Tamandua tetradactyla: one gene and its partner. The protein of the gene in region 1 interacts with the protein of each later gene in a pairwise test. Links are inferred from orthologs where the notes say so. Each region holds a gene or a part of one and is shown on either strand. Other genes may lie near its edges. The genes, in order: MOS and SEC24C.

Evidence for each region.
Region 2: the proteins of MOS (region 1) and SEC24C interact in binary tests that used the Homo sapiens proteins (3 or more experiments, as listed by UniProt). The two-hybrid records come from large-scale screens. The link is inferred for Tamandua tetradactyla from reciprocal best matches to the Homo sapiens genes MOS and SEC24C.

Annotation. Positions count from the first base shown.
Region 1 is NC_135332.1:99,781,528-99,791,397, reverse strand, and holds MOS (proto-oncogene serine/threonine-protein kinase mos), read left to right. Parts: upstream 1-6,228; coding exon 6,229-7,281; downstream 7,282-9,870.
Region 2 is NC_135339.1:22,895,809-22,907,666, reverse strand, and holds the start of SEC24C (protein transport protein Sec24C), read left to right. Parts: upstream 1-7,307; 5' UTR 7,308-7,430; intron 7,431-9,123; 5' UTR 9,124-9,151; coding exon 9,152-9,323; intron 9,324-11,198; coding exon 11,199-11,334; intron 11,335-11,858. Other genes in the region: SYNPO2L (synaptopodin 2-like protein), read right to left, coding at 1-453, 858-1,009, 2,182-2,286. UniProt on the Homo sapiens protein: Component of the coat protein complex II (COPII) which promotes the formation of transport vesicles from the endoplasmic reticulum (ER).

The DNA of each region.
Region 1 (9,870 bases):
CAAATATTACCATTGGCCATGGTTGCATTTATGAATTAAATTTTAAATAAATATAAAATTAACTCATTCTCCCCACATCTGGTTTTGGTCAAGACCTAGGGTCTCATTACTAACCAAGCAATTCATGATGCCCAATGCAAATAGACACTTTTTAATGTTTATGTTAATAAAACTCTAAACGGTAAGCAGTAAAAAACAAAAAAAAATGAAAATTGCAGTCACACAAAAAAAGCTTTCACAAATGATGAACAGACCTACCTATTTCTACAAAAGTGCAATATTCAAATATTTTAGGGAAGTAGCAATTTGTTTTGACTTGAACCTTAAATAATTTCATCACCTGCTTAAAATATACCATCCCATTATGTGCATGTATGTTGGATGTTTGACTGGAAATTACATAGAATTCAATTTAAACAACCTCTCCCAAGTACTCTACTTTCTCCAAAATTTTGGATTAGTTTAATTTCTGTAAAGTAAACCCATAATAATAAAAGTTGTTAAACTTCTGATATTAATTTCAGTTCTACCTGAGATTCAATCTTGACATAAAATATTACAAAATATATGTCATTTGAAGAGGTGATTTTTTTAAAGTATATCCCCCAACAGATGTTGTGAAGAGTGTGTTGGGCACTTTATCAATCAAATTATGATATTTCTCTGGATTTTGTGATGTCTGTGCTATTTGTCAGCTTTTTACAATTTGTAATTTGTTGTGACTTCTCTCATCTGAAAACATATTCACTTCCACACTTAATTTTTAATCTTCTTCTTAAAGAAAATACCCCAGGCTGTATAAGCTATATGGTCCACAAAGCTGGGATCTGCTCTTGTTAATATTATATTAGAATAAAGCAGCTCTGTATCTATTGCACTGACATGGAAACAAGTCTATGACATTGTGCTACTTATAAGACTCAAATTTTAGAATCTTAATAGTATAATTCCACTGAAGTAAAAAAATGTTTTCAGATTTGACTATAATCTTGGAAATATGTGTATTTTTAATAAAGCATATGCATTCATTTACATCTTAATTTTTTAGTTCTAAAAAAAGTGAATTTGCCATCTAAATTCATGCCTGTAAGTAGTAATACCATATTTCAACAATTCCAAAACTCATACTCCTTCACATTTTAACATGTCTGAAATTGGGTTATACCTTGAGGTGATGGTGAAAAAAGTGGGTCCTGGGGAACAGTTCCCTCTCCTTTCCCAGGTGCAAATATGGTCCTAACCATTTCCACATGGCCATGCTCAATAGGATTCAGTGACTTGTTGCTGCAGCTATTGAGTTTATTGGCTTTTTAAAATGTCTTCTGTAAAAGCATGGGATTACTCTAAATGGAAATAAAGTTATTGTTTACATAGAAAGGTCAGAAAACAGTGGCTTGGTGAACATTTGTTATTAGACTGGCATATCATCTTTGGGGGTTATGACGGTTCATCCAGGGCTTTCTGGCATCGAGGAAAGAAATGGACCCACCATGGATGAAATACATGTGGTTTGGAATGAGAGATTCAGGTACCAAATTGCCAAGCCTTGGAAACTTCAAAGTCAAAGAGATGGTGGAAGCCCATGAGTATACAGGTGTCCTGCACAGGTGTGTTAGTACAGGTGCACCTGTGATGTCCACTTATTCTGCTGACTGACTTTGAAGAGAGGCCGTTCATCTTCCAATGACTTGTGAATCGAGGAAAGAGGCATTGGGTACAGCACTGGGTTGAACTCCTGGATTCCACATCAATCCCTGAACTCGATTTGTCCAGCCTAAGACTATTTCGCAGCTAAAGCCCTTTTTATAAACTCAGGAAGCCTGCAGCATTAGCCCAAAGAAGAGTGTCTCCCACAATTAATGTTCCTCAATCTCTTTGGTTAAAATTATATTTAAATGAGCTGTTAATTCTGATCTCTATTGTACATCTTTTGATACATACACTGTTGAGAAGTAACTCTTCCTAATGGTGTTTGCAGAGAAAGAGTAGACAACACAGAGCCTTTACTCCAAGATCCTCAGAGCATTTGGCTCATCAATTGGGTCCACATAAGTCTCCTTCCTTTCTTTCCTTTGTTTCATTTACAATCCCCAGGTAGGAAGTGTTACTGAAGATGTCATCCACATGTTCTGTCCCTATCACTTTCTCACAGACTTTTTTAAAAATCCCAGATGTTTTGAATCAACTCCACTCTTGTCTTTGTCTGGGTATGATGTGAGGTTATCACATTTGATCAGATTAATGTACACCTGTAGCAGTTTTAGTCCATAACAGTAATGTGACATGCTTTTCTATCTTTAACATCAGAAATAAAATTTTAAAGCAGAAAAATGCTCCAAGTAAAATTTAAATTGGGTTAATGCAATGTTACCCTACAGTCCTGGTAGAATAACTTTTAAACCAATACTGTCTAACGGACTGTGAAAGTTTGAAAAGGTTTGTGTACCCTAGAAAACCATGTTTTAATCTTAATCCCATTTTGTAAAGGCAGCTGTTTCTTCTAATCCCTATTCAGTGCTGTATGTTAAAAACTTTAATTAGATCATCTCCCTGGAGATGTGACTCAATCAAGAGTGGTTGTTAAACTGGAATAGGTGGAGACATGTCTCCACCCATTCTAGGTGGGTCTTGATTACTTTACTGGAATTTTATAAAAGAGAGGAGATTCAGAGAGATCTGGGAAGGATGACAGAACGCTGCAGAATGACATAGCCATGAGAAGCAGAGAGTCCAACTGCCAGCAACCTTTGGAGATGAAGAAGGAAAATGCCTCCAGGGAGCTTAATGAAACAGGAAGCCAAAGAGGAAGCTAGCAGATGATGCCGTGTTCGACATGTGCCCTTCCAGCCAAGAGACAAACCCTGACCGTGTTCACCATGTGCCTTTCCACTTGAAAAAGAAACCCTGAACTTTATTGACCTTCTTGAACCAAAGTATCTTTCCCTGGATGCCTCAGATTGGACATTTCTATAGACTTGTTTCAATCAGGACATTTTCTTGGCCTTAGAACTATAAACCAGCAACTTATTAAATTCCCCTTTTTAAAAGGCATTCCATTTCTGTCATATTGCATTCCCTCAGCTAGCAAACTAGAACACAGATGTTTGTTTCTTAAGGGTATAAATCCACACAGATTATTTTTTATGAGTTTTGTAATAATAACATTTATGTGTTACCATAAGCCGGGCCCTGATCTAAGTATTTGAAACTGTTCATCTTCACAGCAAACCTGAAGTCAGTAGAATATTTTCCAGGTGAGGAAACTGAGGCACAGAGACAATAAGAAACCTGGGTCATGTGACCCTAAAACCTTTGTTCTTTATGACCTGGTTTGGGCTTTATCCATTTTGGAGATACAAAATATTATATATAATACTTTAAATTATATAATATTATATATCTGTACATATATACATGGTAACAAAATCAGGATTAAAATTAAACTTTAATTAAGAACTTTTATGTACTAGGTACTGTGCTACTCACAGGAGAGAAAAAAATCTCTAAGGGACATAATTCCTGTCTTCAGGGCAATTATAGTTTACAGAGAAAGAGAAACAAATTTTAAGATGCCTAAAAAAAAGGAAAACAAATGGCTATTTTAAAAATGGATATTCAATTAAATATTCTTGGACAATTTGGCAGGTGACAGATCTAGTGGATTTAGAGTTCATGCGTGTATAGATTACCACATTTTCCATAGTACCTCACATTTTATGTGAAAAAGTCAGACTCTAAACTTTGAAAAAATTGTTTATGCTACTACCTTAGAAATAAAGATTACATGATAACAAGTCACATGATCTTAAATCATAAGTAGTAGCTAGAAAGTGTAATGTCTATCGCTCTTATTCTGCTACTATTTGCAGCACTCCAGCATGTTACAACAATTTCAGAACCTTCATATTCATGGTTATTACAATTCCAAATAGATGATGGCTATTAAGTCAGTTTAGCAATTAGACCTATTATAGGATATAGTTTTATTACTTTCTTATTTAACTCTGTTTTAGTTTGTAAGCTGCTGGATTGCAATATACCAGAAATGGAATGGCTATTAAAAAGAGAATTTACTAAGCTGCAAGTTTACAGTTCTGAGGCCATGAAAATGTCCTTAGAGGCACCAAAAAGAGGTTACCTTCACTCAAGATAGGCTATTGCCATCCAGAACACTCCTGTCAGCTGGGAAGTCACGTGACTGGCATCTCCTGGGGTCTTTGGGTGTTGGATACCTCTCTCAGCTGGGAAGGTACACAAATATCTGCTAGCGTTCTCTCCTCATTTCATAAGGCTTCACCCGCGGTGCCTTCCTTTCACATCTCCAAAAGGTCTCTGGCTGTGTGGGCTCTGTTAATTCTGTTGGCTCTAAGAATTTTTCCAAAATGGTTCCCTTTTAAAGAACTCTATAAGCAACCCCATTTGAATGGGTGAAGACAGATTTCCGTGGAAACCATCTAATCAAATTTACCATCCACAATTGGGTGGGTCACATATCCAAGGAAACAATCAAAAAGATCACACCCAGCAATACTGAATGAGGATTAAAGGATGTGATTTTTCTGGTGTACATAATAGCTTCAAACCCACACAACTCTGTTCATTGTTGTTTTGGTTTGCTCTCATCCTCTTATATTTGGGGTTCAGTACAATTGCATACAACTGTAGTTCTACTAAAATATTCTATAGTTTAATGTTTAGATTTTGTTTTATTGTTGTTAATCTGGACAGGATTCCCCAATTTTTATTCCAAGATGATAATGTTTATTTTAATATTGAATATTATCCTAATTTCTTACATGAAAAGATTGAGGCTCATACAGGTTTAATCTAATACCCAACATCATATACTAAACCAGAGGAGTAGCACGGAATAAACATCCTATTCTAAAAAGGACTTAATTTCAAATTACATATGTAAATGAGCCATGTTTCTTAACGTATCTTCTCAGAACCAACATATTTCAGAAGCAGAGAAGAGCTATTTTCATAGAAATGTGCTTGCATATCACTTATGTGCTTTTAGCACTGAGTATCAGAATGGAACTTTATTATTTGACAGAAAATACAGATCCTAACATTCTCATGTGTTTTGTAATGGATAGGGTAATACTGTTTATCATTTTCCCAAGGATATGGTATGAAAATTACTTTTTCATTATGAAACTTAGAAAGGAAGAACTTATGGTTGGGTTGCAAGACCCTGAATTATATTTCAAAATCTGATTTTCCGCATTCTGTATAGGCACCAGTGAGTCCGTGCTATCTTTTTATCTTCAGAGTTTCCTCTTCTAGAATTCTCCTGTACTTATTATTTGAAGCTCTGATCATGACTCTGAGCCTTTTTTGTTCTGCCCCTGATTCTGCTTCAAAACTTCTGTAACTCATTTGCTGCAAAGTCTAGAATCTCTCTTGTAAGTGAGCTTTCTGGGTGGGCCGAATTGCTATGGAATGGGAGGACTGCTGGGAAGTTGATATGTTGCTAAAATCTTGCTAATTTGCCATATAAGCAGAATAGAGTGTCCGAGAATTTTCCTTTTCCCTGATGAACTTAGGAGGTGTGTGTTCTGAGCTGGACAGTGCTTCTATTTGGATCAATTACTCCAAGATTACAACTTTTATCCATATGAATGTGGCACCTAATTATCCCTGTAATCGGTTAAGGAAATGTCTGCTGTTTGTCTTTCAACTCTTTCTGCCAATAACTGCTGGAAGTTATTTGATGCAGCTGGAGAAGAACACTGACAATCAGAGTCTGCAAAGTGTGAAATAATTTCATTTTACTATTGTGGTCTCTTTAGTCTCAGGTCTGATAATGTTCAGCCGATGAGACTTGGAAAAAGCTCATTTTGCTATAATTGAAGAAAAGTGTCACAGAGGGGGAGCTGTGGGGCAGCTCCATGCTGTTTATATGGTGAGCTCTTCCTGAGAGCTTGCTTTTATAAGAATTCACTTAAGTGTTTAAGGGAAATGCTTTCATCTGAAGGTGATTGTTGTGCTTCCTTCAGATTTTTCCCCTATCCGATTAAACACACACACACACACACACACACACACAAAACACCCTGGCTGTGCAAAGGCACACAGATGTGGCTCATTTGGAGACAATGAAGGGAGAGGATAAAGAGGCTGTGGCGCCGGGAAGGCCTGGTCAATCATGCATCCAAGCTGGCGCAGCCCTTTCTTTCCTCTGCGTCCATCTGGGTCCCGGGTCTCCACCCTGAAGGCGCCATGCCCTCACCTCTCCCTCTGCGCCGTTGCCTGCCTGGAGAGCTGTCGCCCTCGGTGGACTCGCGGCCCTGCAGTAGCCCCTCGGAGCGCCCAGGTAAGGCAGGGAGGCTCTTCTGGGGTGGCACCCCGCCCAGGGCGCCGCGGCTGCCACGCCGGCTGGCCTGGTGCTCCATTGACTGGGAACAAGTGTGCTTCCTCCGGAGACTGGGAGCTGGCGGGTTCGGCTCGGTTTACAAGGCCACTTACCACGGTGTGCCCGTGGCGGTGAAGCAGGTGAACAGGTGCACCAAGAACCGCCTGGCATCGCAGCGAAGCTTCTGGGCTGAGCTCAACATAGCCAGGCTCCGGCACGACAACATCGTTCAGGTGGTGGCGGCCAGTACGCGCACGCCTGCGGGCTGCGATAGCCTGGGCACCATCATCATGGAGTTCGGGGGCAATACCACTTTGCACCAAGTCATCTACGGCGCGCCCCACCACCGTGGGGACGAGGAGGAGCCTCGCTGCCGGACCGGGGAGCAATTGAGTTTGGGAAGGTGCCTGAAGTATTCCCTAGATGTGGTGAACGGCCTGATTTTCCTCCACTCGCAAAGAATCGTGCACTTGGACCTCAAGCCGGCTAACATTTTGATCAGTGAGCAGGACGTCTGCAAAATCGGTGACTTTGGCTGCTCCGAGAAGCTGGAAGGCCTGCTGTGCCTCCAGCCCCCACGGTGCCCCCTGGGTGGCACATACACGCACCGAGCCCCGGAGCTCCTGAAAGGAGAGGCGGCCACCCCCAAAGCAGACATCTACTCCTTCGCCATAACCCTATGGCAAATGGCCACCAAGGAGGTGCCCTACTCGGGGGAACGACAGCACGTGGTCTATGCAGTCGTGGCCTATAACTTGCGCCCCTCTCTGTCCGCGGCGGTCTTCACGAACTCGGTCCCGGGTGGGAGACTGGAGTGTATCATTGAAGGCTGCTGGGCGCCCAGCGCTGTCCAGCGGCCAAGTGCAGAGCTCCTCTTTGCGGACCTTAGCTCTTTAAAGGCTGAGTTCGCCTGGCTTTGAACTTGCTTCCAGAGAAGCTTTTCCCTTTATTTCTATTCATTTTTTAAAGAAGTGGCGTTGTAGAAAACTATTTGTAAGACAGGTTTTTAGAAAATAAAGTGACTTAATAACTTCTTTAGTCTAACATGGTTTTACCAAGACAAACAGGCAGGACTAAAATTTGAGCAATTGTGTAGAAACTACCGTTATTCCTTTCTGCAGTTAGTTTGCTTGTGTTCACAGTTAGCACAGTTAGTACAGTTAGTACAGTTATTCAGATTTGCTGTTGACAAAACCAGGTTGTGCAGAACAGAATGGAACTGCAGAAATGCCAAAATTTTCTATGCATTCGAACAGTATGTACCATACCCACCATCTAACTTCAAATGGTCAAATTCAAACTGTCACAAATTACTGGTCCTATGCCAAATCCATAAAGACTTTTTTTAAAGTTATTTTTTTCTACTTCCTCCTCTAAAATAGCATTCTCATTTGTAAGGACCCTCACACATAATATTCAGGAATTGAAACTAATTTCAGTTCAAATGAATTTTAGATGATACTTAATGGTAAAGTATATAATCCACAAAAAAGAAATAAACATAATGAATAACTGTGAACCAAATCCCACACTAACAATTTTCATAAACAAGAAATAACAAGTAAGTACAAACTTGTTTTTAATAGGAGAATTTAGATTACTTCTGTAGGTCCAAAACAGATTAGAGGGACACAAAATAGGAGATGATGTAGAAAACTGACACGATAATCGATAGAGTGAACCTAACTGTTATCTCGAGCTTTCAGGACTGGAAGAACTAACAGAGTTTCTTGTCAAGCCCCTTTTGAAAACTGACCTAGTATGCCAGGGAGAAAACCTCAAATTCCAAAACTTAAAAAATTAAAAAGAACAGAGGCAAATAGGATTGAAATTAATAATAAAATTAGAAAGCAAATAACACTCTTTATCTGGAAATTGGGAAAACTCTGAAGCAATGATATGTCAAAAGAAAACACTAATCAAAACTGTAGGAATCCTAGAAAACAACAAAAATGAAAACATATTAGAAACAAATTCAGGTCTTTAAGTAAAATCAAAGTGACTTAAGGATATGAATCAAAGGAGGAGAAGAAACAAAGAAGGAAAGCAGGAGGAATGAGTTAAAACAAGGAAATAAAAATAAAAGTTTGAATAAAAATCAAAATGGACAACTCACTTGCTAATCTAAAAGAAAAAATTGCACATATACACAAAATTCGAAATAAAGGACAAATGATCAAAACAGTGGAAATTTTTAAACATTTTAAGAGAGAACATTGAATTTGAATACCTAGAAAGAACATATAATTTGCTGGACAGCTACAATTTACTAAAACCGTACCCAATGAAGGCAGAAAGTCTAAAAGGACCATAGAAAATGCTCTCCAGTCCCTTCTCTGCCTGCTCCATAGGCCATAAAGACCCAAGTTCTGTTGCCTTCTATCAAATCCTTAAAGACCAGGTAATCCAGATGCTACTTAAACTATTCCAGATCACAGAAGGAAAACTTCCAAATTCTTTCTAAGGATTACATTTAAACCAATGTCAGATAAAGACCGCTGGAAGAAAAAAAAAAAAAAGAAACTGCAGATCAATCTAACTTATAAATTGGTGAGCAAAAAAGTTCTAAATAAGATATTAGCCAAGAGCATCCAACAGTTCATTAAAAATATAATGCATATAATATTTTAAACTATGTGGATTTATTCTAGGGGATGCAAGGTTGTATCACGATTAGGCAATCTGTTAACTTAATTCATCATATTAATAGGTCAAAGGAGAAAAATAATACATTCTGAAAAGATATGACCAAACTAAATATTCATTCCCAATTTTAAAAAAAATGACTCACTCAAAGTAATAAGAATCAATAGATAGGTCCTTAACATAATTTAAAAAAATACACACACAACCAATGTTAATTTCATGGTTATATAAGATGTTAACATTAAGAGAAACAGAGTGAAGAGAATACAGGAATGTTTGGTACTATCTTTGCAACTCTTTTGTAAATCAAGATTATTTCAGAAGAAAAAGTTTAAAAATCATAGAGCACACGTACGTATTTCAGCTCAATCACCACTGTCTTCCCTAACAGGGAGTCACTAAGGGATTCCTACTTAAGTCAAGAGGTATATGAGGATGTCTACTATTAATTAACACTTCATTGTCCAATGAAGTTAGAAAAAAGGACATTTGAGTTTTAAAAATTGTCAAGAGAGGGAAAATGAATTCTGTTTGCAGATTCTATTGTCAGTTTTATACCTGAAATACAAGAATCGATGGCATCAGTTAATTTGGACAATAAGGAAATTATGTAAGGGAACAGGATATAAAATTAACACACAGAAAGCAATGGACTTCAGACATGTAAACAAAAACCGGTTAGAATTTACAAAAGAAGAGGAGCCCCTTTTACAACAGCAATGAAAAACATAAAATATTCTCTCTGACCTGGGCACTGCCTGCGTGGTTGATGACTCCAGGGCCACACCCTTGTCCAGTGTGGGAGGGACACTAGTTATACACAGGAGGGTTGAGCAAGTAGGCGAATTTGCTGAGGATAATGT
Region 2 (11,858 bases), on another chromosome or scaffold:
GGCCCCACCATAGGAATGAGGTGAGGACCAGGCTTGAGGGGGCCATGGGGAAGCAACAGAACCTCGGCCGGGGGTGGCTTTAGGGCTGTCACATCCTCCCAAGTTGGGGAGCTCACCCGGCCGTCACCCTGGTTAGGAGGGCCAGGGATGACAGGGGCTGGCTCTGCAGGGCTGTCAGATAGGTAGATCTCATCAGGTGGAGCTCCTGGAGGGGTGGGCCTCATAGGGCCTCTGCGGCGGGGTCGGCGGGGCTTCTCTTGGGCGGCTGGGCCATCAACATCACTGTCTGTTTCTCCATAGTAAGCCTCACTGTCAGGGGGTGAACGAAGGCTTCCAGGTTGCAGAGGCTGGGGAACTGGAGCGCCAGGGGGCTCAGGACTCAGTGGAGACAAGGGTGACAGCACCTGAAGCTCACCAGGGGATGGAGATCGCACAGGCCCCATAGCCCCTGACCTGGGTAGAGAAGATCAGACTTGAGAGGGGAGCTAGGTGACTGAGAGCTTGAGAGATCTGGAGGAGATAGCAGAAGGAGGTTAGGGGGACAGGGGGGACCAGGGTACAGGTAGAATGAATGGATGGTGAAGAGTGAAGGTCTCAAAACAAACTGGGGGGCAAATGTGCCTGGAGGGCTGAGGGTGGAAATGAGCTGAGAGGGGGATGTGAGGATGAGGTTAGGGATTGAAGTAGGCCCACACACTCACATACCCATTTGACAACCCATCCCTTAATTATTGATTCAAGCTGCTTGGAGACATACATAAGCATGTATACTCTAGCACAAACACTCAAGCAGAAATGGGCACTTAATAGCTGCTGAGGGCAGGTTAGTGAGAGGTAGAGCTGAGGGAGGTCCATACCGCCTCACAGTGAGAACAAGCTGATTCCCTGAGGTGTCAATGAGGCTCATAGCACTGGCATGAGAGAGGCTGGTGCAGGAGACCCCATTGATGGCCAAGAGCTGGTCCCTCTCTCTGAGTCCTGCTCTGCCAGCCTGACTCCGTCTTCGGATCTGAGAAAGAAGAGACTGCAGGTGAAGGAGAGCTCCAAGGGGAGTAGAATGAAAGGAGTTAGGACAAGAAGGACCCTGTGAGGAAGGGATTTTATTTTGAGGGGGCAAAGGGCTTCAGTTGAGGGACCTTGTACTGAGAGAGGAAGGTGAAGATTGGAGAGCATAACATATCATTTAGGAGGAAGTAGAGTAACCACTGAATGAAAGAGGCTTGGGGAAAACTGTTTGGGGGAAGTATCAGAAATAGTGGTTATAGTCCCAAGTTTTCCCTCCAAGGGCAAAATCTATACTTGTCAATAGCGCTTTACCAGGCCTTTGGATCCCAAGGGCCATTATCTACACAATGAAGGGTTTAAACAGTATTCCAGATTGGAGGGAGTCCAGCTAGATTCCTAGAGATTGTGACTGTGTTTATTTGTGTGCCATGTATGTGCGCATGTGCATACCTGTTAAAGTAATGTGGTAGTAGTGGGTAGTGGCTTCCATTTATTGAATGTTAGGCACTGTGTTAGGTACTTCACATGTATTGTTGCATTAAATCCTTAGAATGGTTCTATGTTACCCACCATTTACCCATTTGAGGAAACTGGGGCTCAGAGAAGTCAGTGGCAGCCTGTAGGGTGAAACTGAAAGAGTAACACTTCACCTGAGAAGCCAGATATTCCTCTCCACCCCACATCCCCCAGTACTTAAAAAGCCTTGCTTAGTGAGAGAAAGGATCTGGCTTAGGGAGAGAAAACCACTTGAAGGCAGGAAGGAAGACAGGGCTGGGGGTCTGGGCAGGTCTGGGCTGGGTGAGTCAGCCTTAGCTCATCACATATCAGTTTAGTCAGAGAGAAATTAGAATCTTCCCTACATTCCTGGAATTTATAGTAGAGGTACGGATCCAGCAAAGTGCTCTGCTACCATCGTGCCCCAGGAAACTGAAGCAGAGCCTTCCTTTTTCTCTGCTTCCTGAAAAGCAGGAGTTCTCTTCTCTAATCGCCCTCAACAAGAAGCCTGTGGTCAGCCACCATTTCCCCAGCCAGACCAGAACATGCACCCCTGCCCACCTACCCACCTCCCACTCCTTTTTGTCACTGCCTCTCAGCTTCTCTCCCACCACATGACTCGTCCTGGGTTCCCTTCGGTTCCCCTTTCCCTGAAGCCTCATTTCAGGGGCTCTCCCTTACCTTGGACACCTGTAAGGGTTTCTTCTGCTCGGCCCCCCCCTGAAGTCGGAAGCCCCAGGGGGCTCCCCCTGACAGTGTGACCAGCACTTCCTCCTCAGCACCCATTGCTCAGCTTGGCCTACGGTCCCCGGAATTTGCAGACTGTCCCAGGAAGAGAAGTTGAGGCGACGGTACCCTGTCCGGCTGTCCTGCTCCTGCTGCCCCAGGCCTCCCCCCCAAACCACACACTACAGGCAGGCAACTTAGCCCTCAGATCAGTACAGTCCAGCACACGTGGCCTGTCAATCGGAGCTATGCTCAAAATAGATGCCAGCAGTACTCCCCTCCCTCCCCCAGCTAGGTTACTCCCAGTGCTAATTATAGTCAAACTGTTGCCTTCCCATGTCCCCCCATTCTCCTGCATGGGCTTTTTCCGCAGAACTCGGAGTATTTGCTTCTGGGCTCTACAACTAACGTATACTCTCTCAAGGACTGTGCCTTTCTTGATAGGATCAGGGACTGATCCCATCTACTTTCCTTCAAAGCCCATTTCAAAATGGCGATGGCAGAGGCTTCAGTTCCAGAGCCGACAAGCAACGGGTTTGCAAAAAGTTCCCAAACTCCCCAGAAAAGAGTGCCTCCTCGTGTACCATTTATAATCAAAGTGGAGATCTGTATTCCACTGTAGTGCTGGGTGCTATGGAGAGGAATTCTCCCGGTCAGCCCTGCCCCATAGAACTGTTGCTGCTTCTACAGAGCCTTGCCTGACCATCTGATGACTCCTCCCCTATAGAGTTAATCCTTCCCTGCTCTGGGCAACATCTGTATCTTGTTCAAATTTCTATTGTTGTATTTCTCAACCAATATTGTAATTTGTCTACATGCCTGTTTCCCTCCTAGACTGTGAGAGACTTGAAGGCAAGACTCTGTGCAATAGCCAATCGATAGCCTGTTATCAGACAGAACAATGCCTGATGTAATGAGTGCTCAACAAATGTTTGCTGAATTAAATGATCTCTTACATTCAACAGGTGGTTTTAGTCACAGATAGGTAAACATGCCAACCCATGTTAAACCCACCTCTACTAGTTTCTAGGTTCCTGTTAAATGAATGTGCCCTATATTAAGAGATGTCTTCCTGTTAAAAAAATAGAATTATGCTGTTCTATCTGTGATTATCCAAAGCTACAGAGTTCCTTAAGATAGCTGTTCCCATAGTGCCCCAGGTGCTGTTTGCCTTGGTGTATGATGTAGTCATAGAAGACACTTGAGATTTTGAGTCAGAAGACTTGGACTTGAGTTCTTGTTCCGTCATTTATTATCTGTGTGAGTCAGGTAGTCACTTGACCTGATCAGTGGGAAAAAATAAAAAAGGACTTAATTATCCATGCATTCGTTATTCAAACATTTATTGTGCTAACTGCACACCAGCCAGTACTTTCAATTAACCTGAATGCACATTAAAATCACCTGGAAAGCTTTTAAAACTACTGATCCCCTGCAGTGCAAAGGTAGCTCAGTGTTAGAATTCTCGCCTGTCATGCTGGAGACCTGGGTCCAATTCCTGGAGACTGTACATGTCAAAAAAAAAAAACAACAAACAAACAAGAAAACACTACTGATCCCCTAAAATAAGACAGTGTATAGGATCAGGTGATTGTGTAATAAAATAATCTATTAATGTATACATATATATATACATTACATACACACATTACATATATGTAATGATTCCCAGGCTCCTGATTTTATTGGTTTGGTACTTGGTATTGGTATTTAACAAAGCACTGAAGCTATGAATATAGGCTCTATCATTTATTAGGGGTGCACCCTTGAGCGGGACAGAGAATACCTGTTTTACTATGCTGAGATGAGCTCTAAATTGGATAAATTATGGGCAATGTTAGCAGTGAGGCCAGCCTAAGGTAGGCACTCAACAAATGTTATTTGAATTTAGCAAATTATTAATCTAAGACAGTGGTTCTCTATTTTCAGTGTGCAATGGAATCACCTGAAGGACTTGTTAAACCATAAATTGCTGGTTCCCACTTCCAGTTTTTGATTCAGTATTTCTAGGGTAAGTCTGAATTTCTAGCAAGTTCCCAAGTGATATTGACTCTTGCTCCCAGGGTCACATTTTAGAACTACTGACCTCGAGTATAAACTCCTGAGGCCAGGGATGATCTTCCTGTTCGCTAAAGCATATTCAATGCTTAATACAGTTTTCAGCACAGACTACATGTGCAATGAATTTTTTCAACAAATTAACTTCTTTGTGCCTCAGAATAATTAATATCTACTGTCAACAATATGAGATCAAGGACTTTGTTTTGTTCATTACTATATTTCCAGCACCCAGAACATAACATGGCATACAACACTACTCACAAAATAGTTGTTAATAGTTGTCCTCAGTATTAAATGAGGTCATATATAAGAAAAAAAAATCCCATAAGTCTTAGGTACAATTATTGGAATTCTTTAGATCAGGTAATAATAATTACTGGAAGGACTGTAGCCTTTCCAATAGACTAGGGGCACTCTGAGAGCAGAGATCCTATCTTCTGGTTCTGGCAAATCTCTGCACCTAAAGGAAGAGGCTGTATGAAAATGGTTAATTGAGAACAGCCAATCTTTGCTGAGTGCTTACTATGGTGCCAGACAGCCTACGTGACTTGTCAAATTCAATCTTCTCAACCCACTATAAGATTGGACATCAATAGTTCCATTTTTAAGATTGTGCTGGTTTGAAATGATGTATGTACCCTAGAAAAGCCATGTTTTAATCCTAATCCCATTTTGTAAAGGCAGCCGTTTCTTTTAATCCCTATTCAGTATTGTATGTCTGAAACTGTAATTGGATCATTTCCCTGGAGATGTGATTTAATTAAGAGTGGTGGTTAAACTGGATTAGGTGACGACATGTCTCCACCCATTTGGGTGGGTCTTGATTATCAGTTTCTGAAGTCCTATAAAAGAGAGAACATTTCGGAGAATGATAGAGATTCTGAGAAAGCAGAGAACAACATAGCCATGAGAAGCAAAGAGTCCACAGGCCAGCGACCTTTGGAGATGAAGAAGGAAAACGCCTCCTGGGGAGCTTCTTGAAACAGGAAGCCAGGAGAGAAAGCTAGCAGATGACGCCCTGTTCGCCATGTGCCCTTCCAGCTGAGAGAGAAACTCTGACTGTGTTTGCCATGTGCCCTTCCACTTGAGAGAGAAACCCTGAACTTTATTGACCTTCTTGAACCAAGGTATCTTTCTCTGGATGCCTTAAATTGAACATTTCTATAAACTTGCTTTAACTGGGACATTTTCTCGGCCTTAGAACTGTTAACTACTATTTAATTCCCCTTTTTAAAAGCCACTCTGTTTCTGGTATATTGCATTCCAGCAGCTAGCAAACTAGAAGAAAGATGAAGGCAACTGAGGCACAAAGAGATTAAGTGCCAAAAACAGCGAAATACTGAGCCAGAATTCTCACCCATAAGCCCTTTGCTAACTGTGATTATTAAAAATTACAGAATCCCATGGACAAGCAGAGTTAGTGCCCTTTACTACCATAAATACATTCAGCAAAAAAACACCAGTGAGAACAACCTCAAAGGTGGAAATCAGTGAGGTCAGAGGCCAGCAGGAAGTCACCATAGGACTCAAGATCAGAGGTCACTATCTTCCCCATTTGGAGAATTTCTGATATTCTCCCAAGCAGTGGGGACAACCAGATCAATAGGCCGAGCACTCAATCTTGGGGTTTGTTCCTATGAAACTCATCCCTGCAAAGGACAGGCTAAACCTACTTAAAATTAGGCCTAAGATGGGTAGGCCACAGTGGGTCAGCAGGCAGAGTTCTCACCTGCCATGCTGGAGATCCTGGTTCAATTCCCAATGCCTGCCCAGGCAAAAAAAAAAAAAAAAAAAAAAAACCCCAAAAATTATGCCTAAGAGTCACCCCCAGAGAACCTCTTTGGTTGCTTAGATGTGGCCTCTCTCTCAGCCAACATGGAAAGCAAATTCACTGCCCAACCCCTCTCTATGTGGGACATTGACTCTGAGGGGTGTAACCTCCCTGGCAACGTGGAACAGAAATCCTAGAATGAGCTGGGACTCAGCATCAACTGATTCAGAAAGCCTTCTTGACCGAAAGGGGGAAGAGAGAAATGCAAGATAAAGTCTCAGCAGCTGACAGATTTCAAACAGAGTCGAGAGGTTATCCTGATGCATTATATAGATACCCCCTTTTTAGATTAAGGTATATTAGGCTAGAGGGAAGTCCCTGAAACTGTAGAGCTGTGTTCCAGTAGCCATGTTTCTTGAAAATGATTGTATAATGATATAGCTTTCACAATGTAACTGTGTGATTGTGAAAACCTTGTGTCTGATGCTTCTTTTATCTACCTTATGGACAGATGAGTAAAACATGTATTAAAAATAAATAATAAGGGAAACAAATATTAAAATTTTAAAAATATATATTGGATAGATGGAAATACTAGTGGTCAATGAGAGAGAGGGGTAAGGGGTATGTGGCATGTATGAATTTTTCTTTTTATTTCTTTTTCTGGAGTGATGTAAATGTTCTAATGATCAAGGAAATGTTCTAAGAAATGATGAATATGCAATTATGTGATGATATTGAGAATTACTGATTATATATGTAGAACGGAATGATATGTTAATGTTTTTGTTTGTTCTTAATTTTTTTAATTAATAAATTTTAAAAAAGATCATGGTAATGAATATACAACCATGTGATGATACTGTGAACCACTGATTGTGCACCATGTATGTAATGTTCGTATGTTAAGAATGTATGTGCTTGTAGTTGTGGTATCAATAAAAAATTTTTTTAAAGTTTGTGTTTGCATGTTTCATTAATTTAAAAAAAAGATCAGAGGGCACTAATAGGTCATTGGCAGATTGAGGGGGCGTCACTAAAGACACTCTGACCCAACCTTCTCAAAGCGTATCTCAGTCGTTGGGGTTATAAAATGACTAAGTCATGTGAAGCCAGGAAAAAAAAAAAAAAGGCGGAAATGCATAAGAATCCATGGAGCCTCCCAGCGGATGGCCATGAGTGATGGAAGTTGCGCATGCCTAGCATCCGGGTTCCTGAGAGCGTGCCTAGTGTAGACGTGGCAGTGGAGCAGCCCGGCCCACGAACGTGGGGGCTGGACTTCCGGGAGCGACGCTACGGCCCCCTCGGAACCGGAAGTGAAGCTTGGGAGCCTTGACGTTAGGAACGAAGTCGAACCTGGATCTGGAGCCGGGTAAGGAGTGGCATCGGGAGGTTGGTGGGTAGGAAAGCAGAGGAGAGGTCGGGGTATCACTGGCCACATCAGGGTCCAGTGTGAGAAGGAAGGGAGGAGTCCGGAGGCGGGGCTCGGGGAGAGACCCTTATCTCACGCATCTACAATCCAGGGTCAGCCGTAGACCCTCCCTTCTTCTCCCGCCCAGATTTCGACTCCAGCTTCCTACCCCGAGCCTGTTGAAGGGCTCAAGACGCTCGGTTCCCAAGTTTAAAGGACCAGCGCCCTCTTCGTCTCCCTCGTTCTTGATGCCTGGCCCTCCCAGCCTCCACTGCTCGTCTGCTTCCAGAGTTCTAGGAAGCTTGCCCCGCCCCCTTGAGTTGTCATCCTCGACTGTCTTCAGAATGGAGTGAGACTTGAGCCTGATTCCAAGCGCTTGGGTGTGTTTGAGGGGATTATTTCTTGGAGAAAAAGCTCCTTTGTTGTTTCCCTCTAGGACTTTAAGGGACATAAATGAGAGGGGACTATGTGTTTAGTTTAGTGTCACTGATCTGTGCAAGGTTTAGGATTTCGAACCGTTCCTGAGATGGCTTTCAGTTTAAAGAGCTCTAGTCCGGTAGCAGCTCAGCTTTTCTATAGTCAAGATGGCCCTTTCTAGCAAAAGGGAGAGTACCCATTGTTACACTGCATCAACTGTGAGCTCTTCTGCTTTCTGGACCCCTTCCGTCTTTAAGATAGTTGGGTTGGTGAGGCTGATTAAAGTAGATGTCATCAGACAATACTCTTCTTGGAAGGACCCTAGAAAGGCCTTCTAATTCATTCTTCTCACCTGACAAGATTGTAGTAATTTTGGCAGTGGCCTATATTCATTAAAATCATATAAGGAGAGCAGAACAGAAGAATTGAAGTACATTGGGGTTTGGAACACTCACAGACTCTCTGTTTGAAGCATAAGATGAGTGACCTTTTACATCAAGTCTAACTTCGCCACTGATTCTTGAGCTGTTTCCTTAGGTTATTGTGAAGTTTTTGTGCCTGGTCTATAATCATCTGTAATCTGGTACCTTAACCAGAGTTTTCAGGTATCTTTTACAGTTAGGGATTTTGATGCTTCAGTTCTAAGGTCGATATACCCTTTTGGTGGGAAGACTGGGGATGGAGTAGCATTTTGATTATTCAGGTTAATCAAAGCATGTCATTTCTCTCACAGTTACTCAAAAATTTGCCTTTTGAGGAAGAGGGAACTTCATTGATCTGTTTTAGTCTCGGTGATTAAAAAACACTAGTACACTTTAGGGTACTCAGAGTTTGTTGAATGAATAGATGTGGGAGCATTGTTTAATTTACCTTGTAATATCACAGTAGTTCTTCAGCCCCAGGACTCTTTGTGTGACTAGATGCTAGAAGTCATATCACTGGGGAATGAAAACTGTTGCTCCATTCCAGGGGGCTTCTCTGAAGTTGAAATTTATAACCCCTTGGCATTGACAAAGCATGTGGTTCAGAGAAACAAAATCCTTTCTTTCTCTGAGGAGGTAAACTGGGTACTCGCTGGGACAGAAAATTACTAGATCCTGTTATTGTGTAGAAATGATTAGGCTAATCATTCTCTGATAAAGTCAATCCCTTTTACTCCTACTTCCTACCCCAAATATTTGCTTTATCTTTAGGAAGTTGGTTTTGACTAATTTCTCTCTTCTTTCTCATCTGATAGGTGAGACCAAGTTGGGGATGCTCTCATAATGAACGTCAACCAGTCAGCTCCACCTGTGCTGCCATATGGGCAGCCCCAGCCTGTCTACCCAGGGTATCATCAGTCCAGCTATGGTGGGCAGCCAGAGTCCACTGTCCCTCCCATTCCCTATGGAGCCTACAATGGCCCAGTACCAGGCTATCAGCCAACACCTCCCCCAGGTATATGTTTACAAGTTTTCTTTGAGCCATGGAGAGGAATCAGAAGAGTTTTAGTTTGGGTTGTATTGCCTAGCTAAGTTGCCTGGAGAATTATGGTGACTGGGACTGAGGAATATAAATCTGGCTCTCTTCACTGGGAGCACTGTGGGTAGCTGCCCTTCCCTGTTTTTACTATAGGATGACTGTTTCTGGTTCAGCCTTAAGGCATCTAGTGGCAACACATCTTCCAGGTTCAGTGGCAGTTCATTACCTGTTGATATCGTGCTAAAGTATACCTAGCTGTATTGTTCAGAGCTTGCTGGAAGGAGTGTGGTCACAGCTCCTCTAGAGCCTATGACTGGCACTTAATATTTCCCATTGTCCTAAAGTCTTCCTGAAATCACTTATTTCTCATGTATATTGAGAATGCCTCTAATTGGACAGATGGTTTTATCTGTAAATGATTCTGGGACACATAGATCTAATTCATGGATGAAAGGTATAGTTATATTTGTGCCTTAGTTTTGATGCCTCTCATACCTTTCTGATGATACCATTCTTCTTTGCTTGAGTTTCCTCTGCTTAGATGTTCTGTACTATCAGGGCAATGGAAGAAGACTAATCTAATGCTGCCTTAGGGTCAATGTTTGGTTATTATGTTACTTTTTCAGGGAAGGGCAGCTCTACAGATTGTTGGGAGGGGCTTTTTGGAGAGTAGTTAACAGTAGATCTTTGGTTAGGCTGCCTCAGAATATAGGGTATACCAAACTTTATGCTTTTTTTTAAGAGTATAAATTACATAAAGACATAAGGGAAAAAGAGGGCACCAAGGAGGCAAAGGTAGGATTTGGGAAATAAATGAAGTATTACCATTTTTAATTAAGATTTGGAAAATATGAATTGGAAAGATTAGGAGAGATTAGGTTTCAGGTCTGTAGATGAGCCTACCCTGGGTTGGGACTTTGACAGGACAAAGTCCACAGTTCTCCAAAGTCTTGGCTTATCAAGATGGAATTTGGTATTGCCACAGGAGGAAAACATATCTGGTTTTAGTCATGGCTTGTGAGCAAGTTCAGATTAATCATGTTTTTCTAGGCAGGTTTTGTAGTGTCTAATTTCTGCTGAAGACAGAAAAAAAATTATTTTTGAACAGGGGTCGGCAGCATTTCAAGAGTGATGTGTGAAGTTACTAATTGTTTTCTTCATAAGTAGCTTTGATGGTAGCTCTGATGAGTAGAAAGGTTGAACTAGAACTTTTGTGACGTCAGAGGTACCAGCATTAATAGGAGGACAAATCAACTGCACTAAATGAACTCTTGGACAGAAACAAGGTCTTCAGCTTCTGGGGAATACTTCCTGAGCTCTGTGCTTTTGGGAGCTTTCACACTTAGAAGTAGGTGAAAAAAATATAGATGAAAAAGAAGAGGAAGGTGATAGAAGAGTCTTCCCAAGAGGCGCCTTTCTTTACAATCTAGTTCAGTATATTAGTTGGTTATCTTCTATGCTACTTTTCTCATATATGCTTCGTGTTTCTGAATTCTGGAGTATGGTCTTTTCCATAAAAGACTTGACTTTTTGTCTAGGGTAACATCATTGACTGTGCTGGATGGAGTTGGAGAGGATGATGATCACAGGAAGGCCTTACATTCTTGTGGCTGTGTCTACAGCTTCACCCCAAGTATAGCTGTCTAGGAGGGTAAAGACTCTGTCTAGGCATCCATGTTCAGAATGTTGCTGTAGCTAGAGTTGCATGTTGGTGATGTCATTTTCACTGCAAAGCTGTGGTATTGGGCCAATGAAGGTCTGAGTTTATTGGTCCTTGCTTTGCATTCCTGGCTTAGGGTGGAAGAAAAAAAATTATTTCACAATTACTTAGTTTCTGTCCTTTACCCTTAGGTGTGTCAAGAGCCCCACCTTCCTCAGGGGCACCTCCTGCCTCAACAGCACAGGCTTCTTGTGACCAGACTGCATATGGCCAGTTTGGCCAAGGAGATATACAGAATGGGCCGAGCTCTACTGTTCAAATGCAGAGGTATGTACTTGGGTCAACCTAAAAATCAATCTGATGAAGCTGGTAGGGTTAGAAATGCATGAGGATCTGTTTCCTTTTCTGCTTTTTCATCTATATTTCCCTTAAATCCCTTTCTCTCTTCCTTCCACTCTTTGTCGTTTGTTGTCTTTTTCTTTCTAGGTTACAAGTGCTGGTGATAGCCAGCTCTGTGAATTATTGATCTATCTCTGTACTTGGGTTCTTTTGCATGTTCTTCCTCTTTTTTTGAACTTGAGTTTTTTTTTTTCTTGATTAGACATACATTTTGAATGAATTTCTGATTCCTGTTGAGCCTATCCTCAGGGATAGGAAGAGGGAACTTTAGGATTATTTGTGTTTGTCTCTTCTGACCTCCCCCTTTCCTTTAGATGAGGTTTAGTAGGACCATATGGTTAACTTTGGTCAAGACCAGTTATGAAAGGAAAGCTATCTAAAGGAAAACACTTTTATTGGGGTTCCAGAATATGTATTTTCAACATTGAATATAAGTGTGGAGAAGGAGCCTA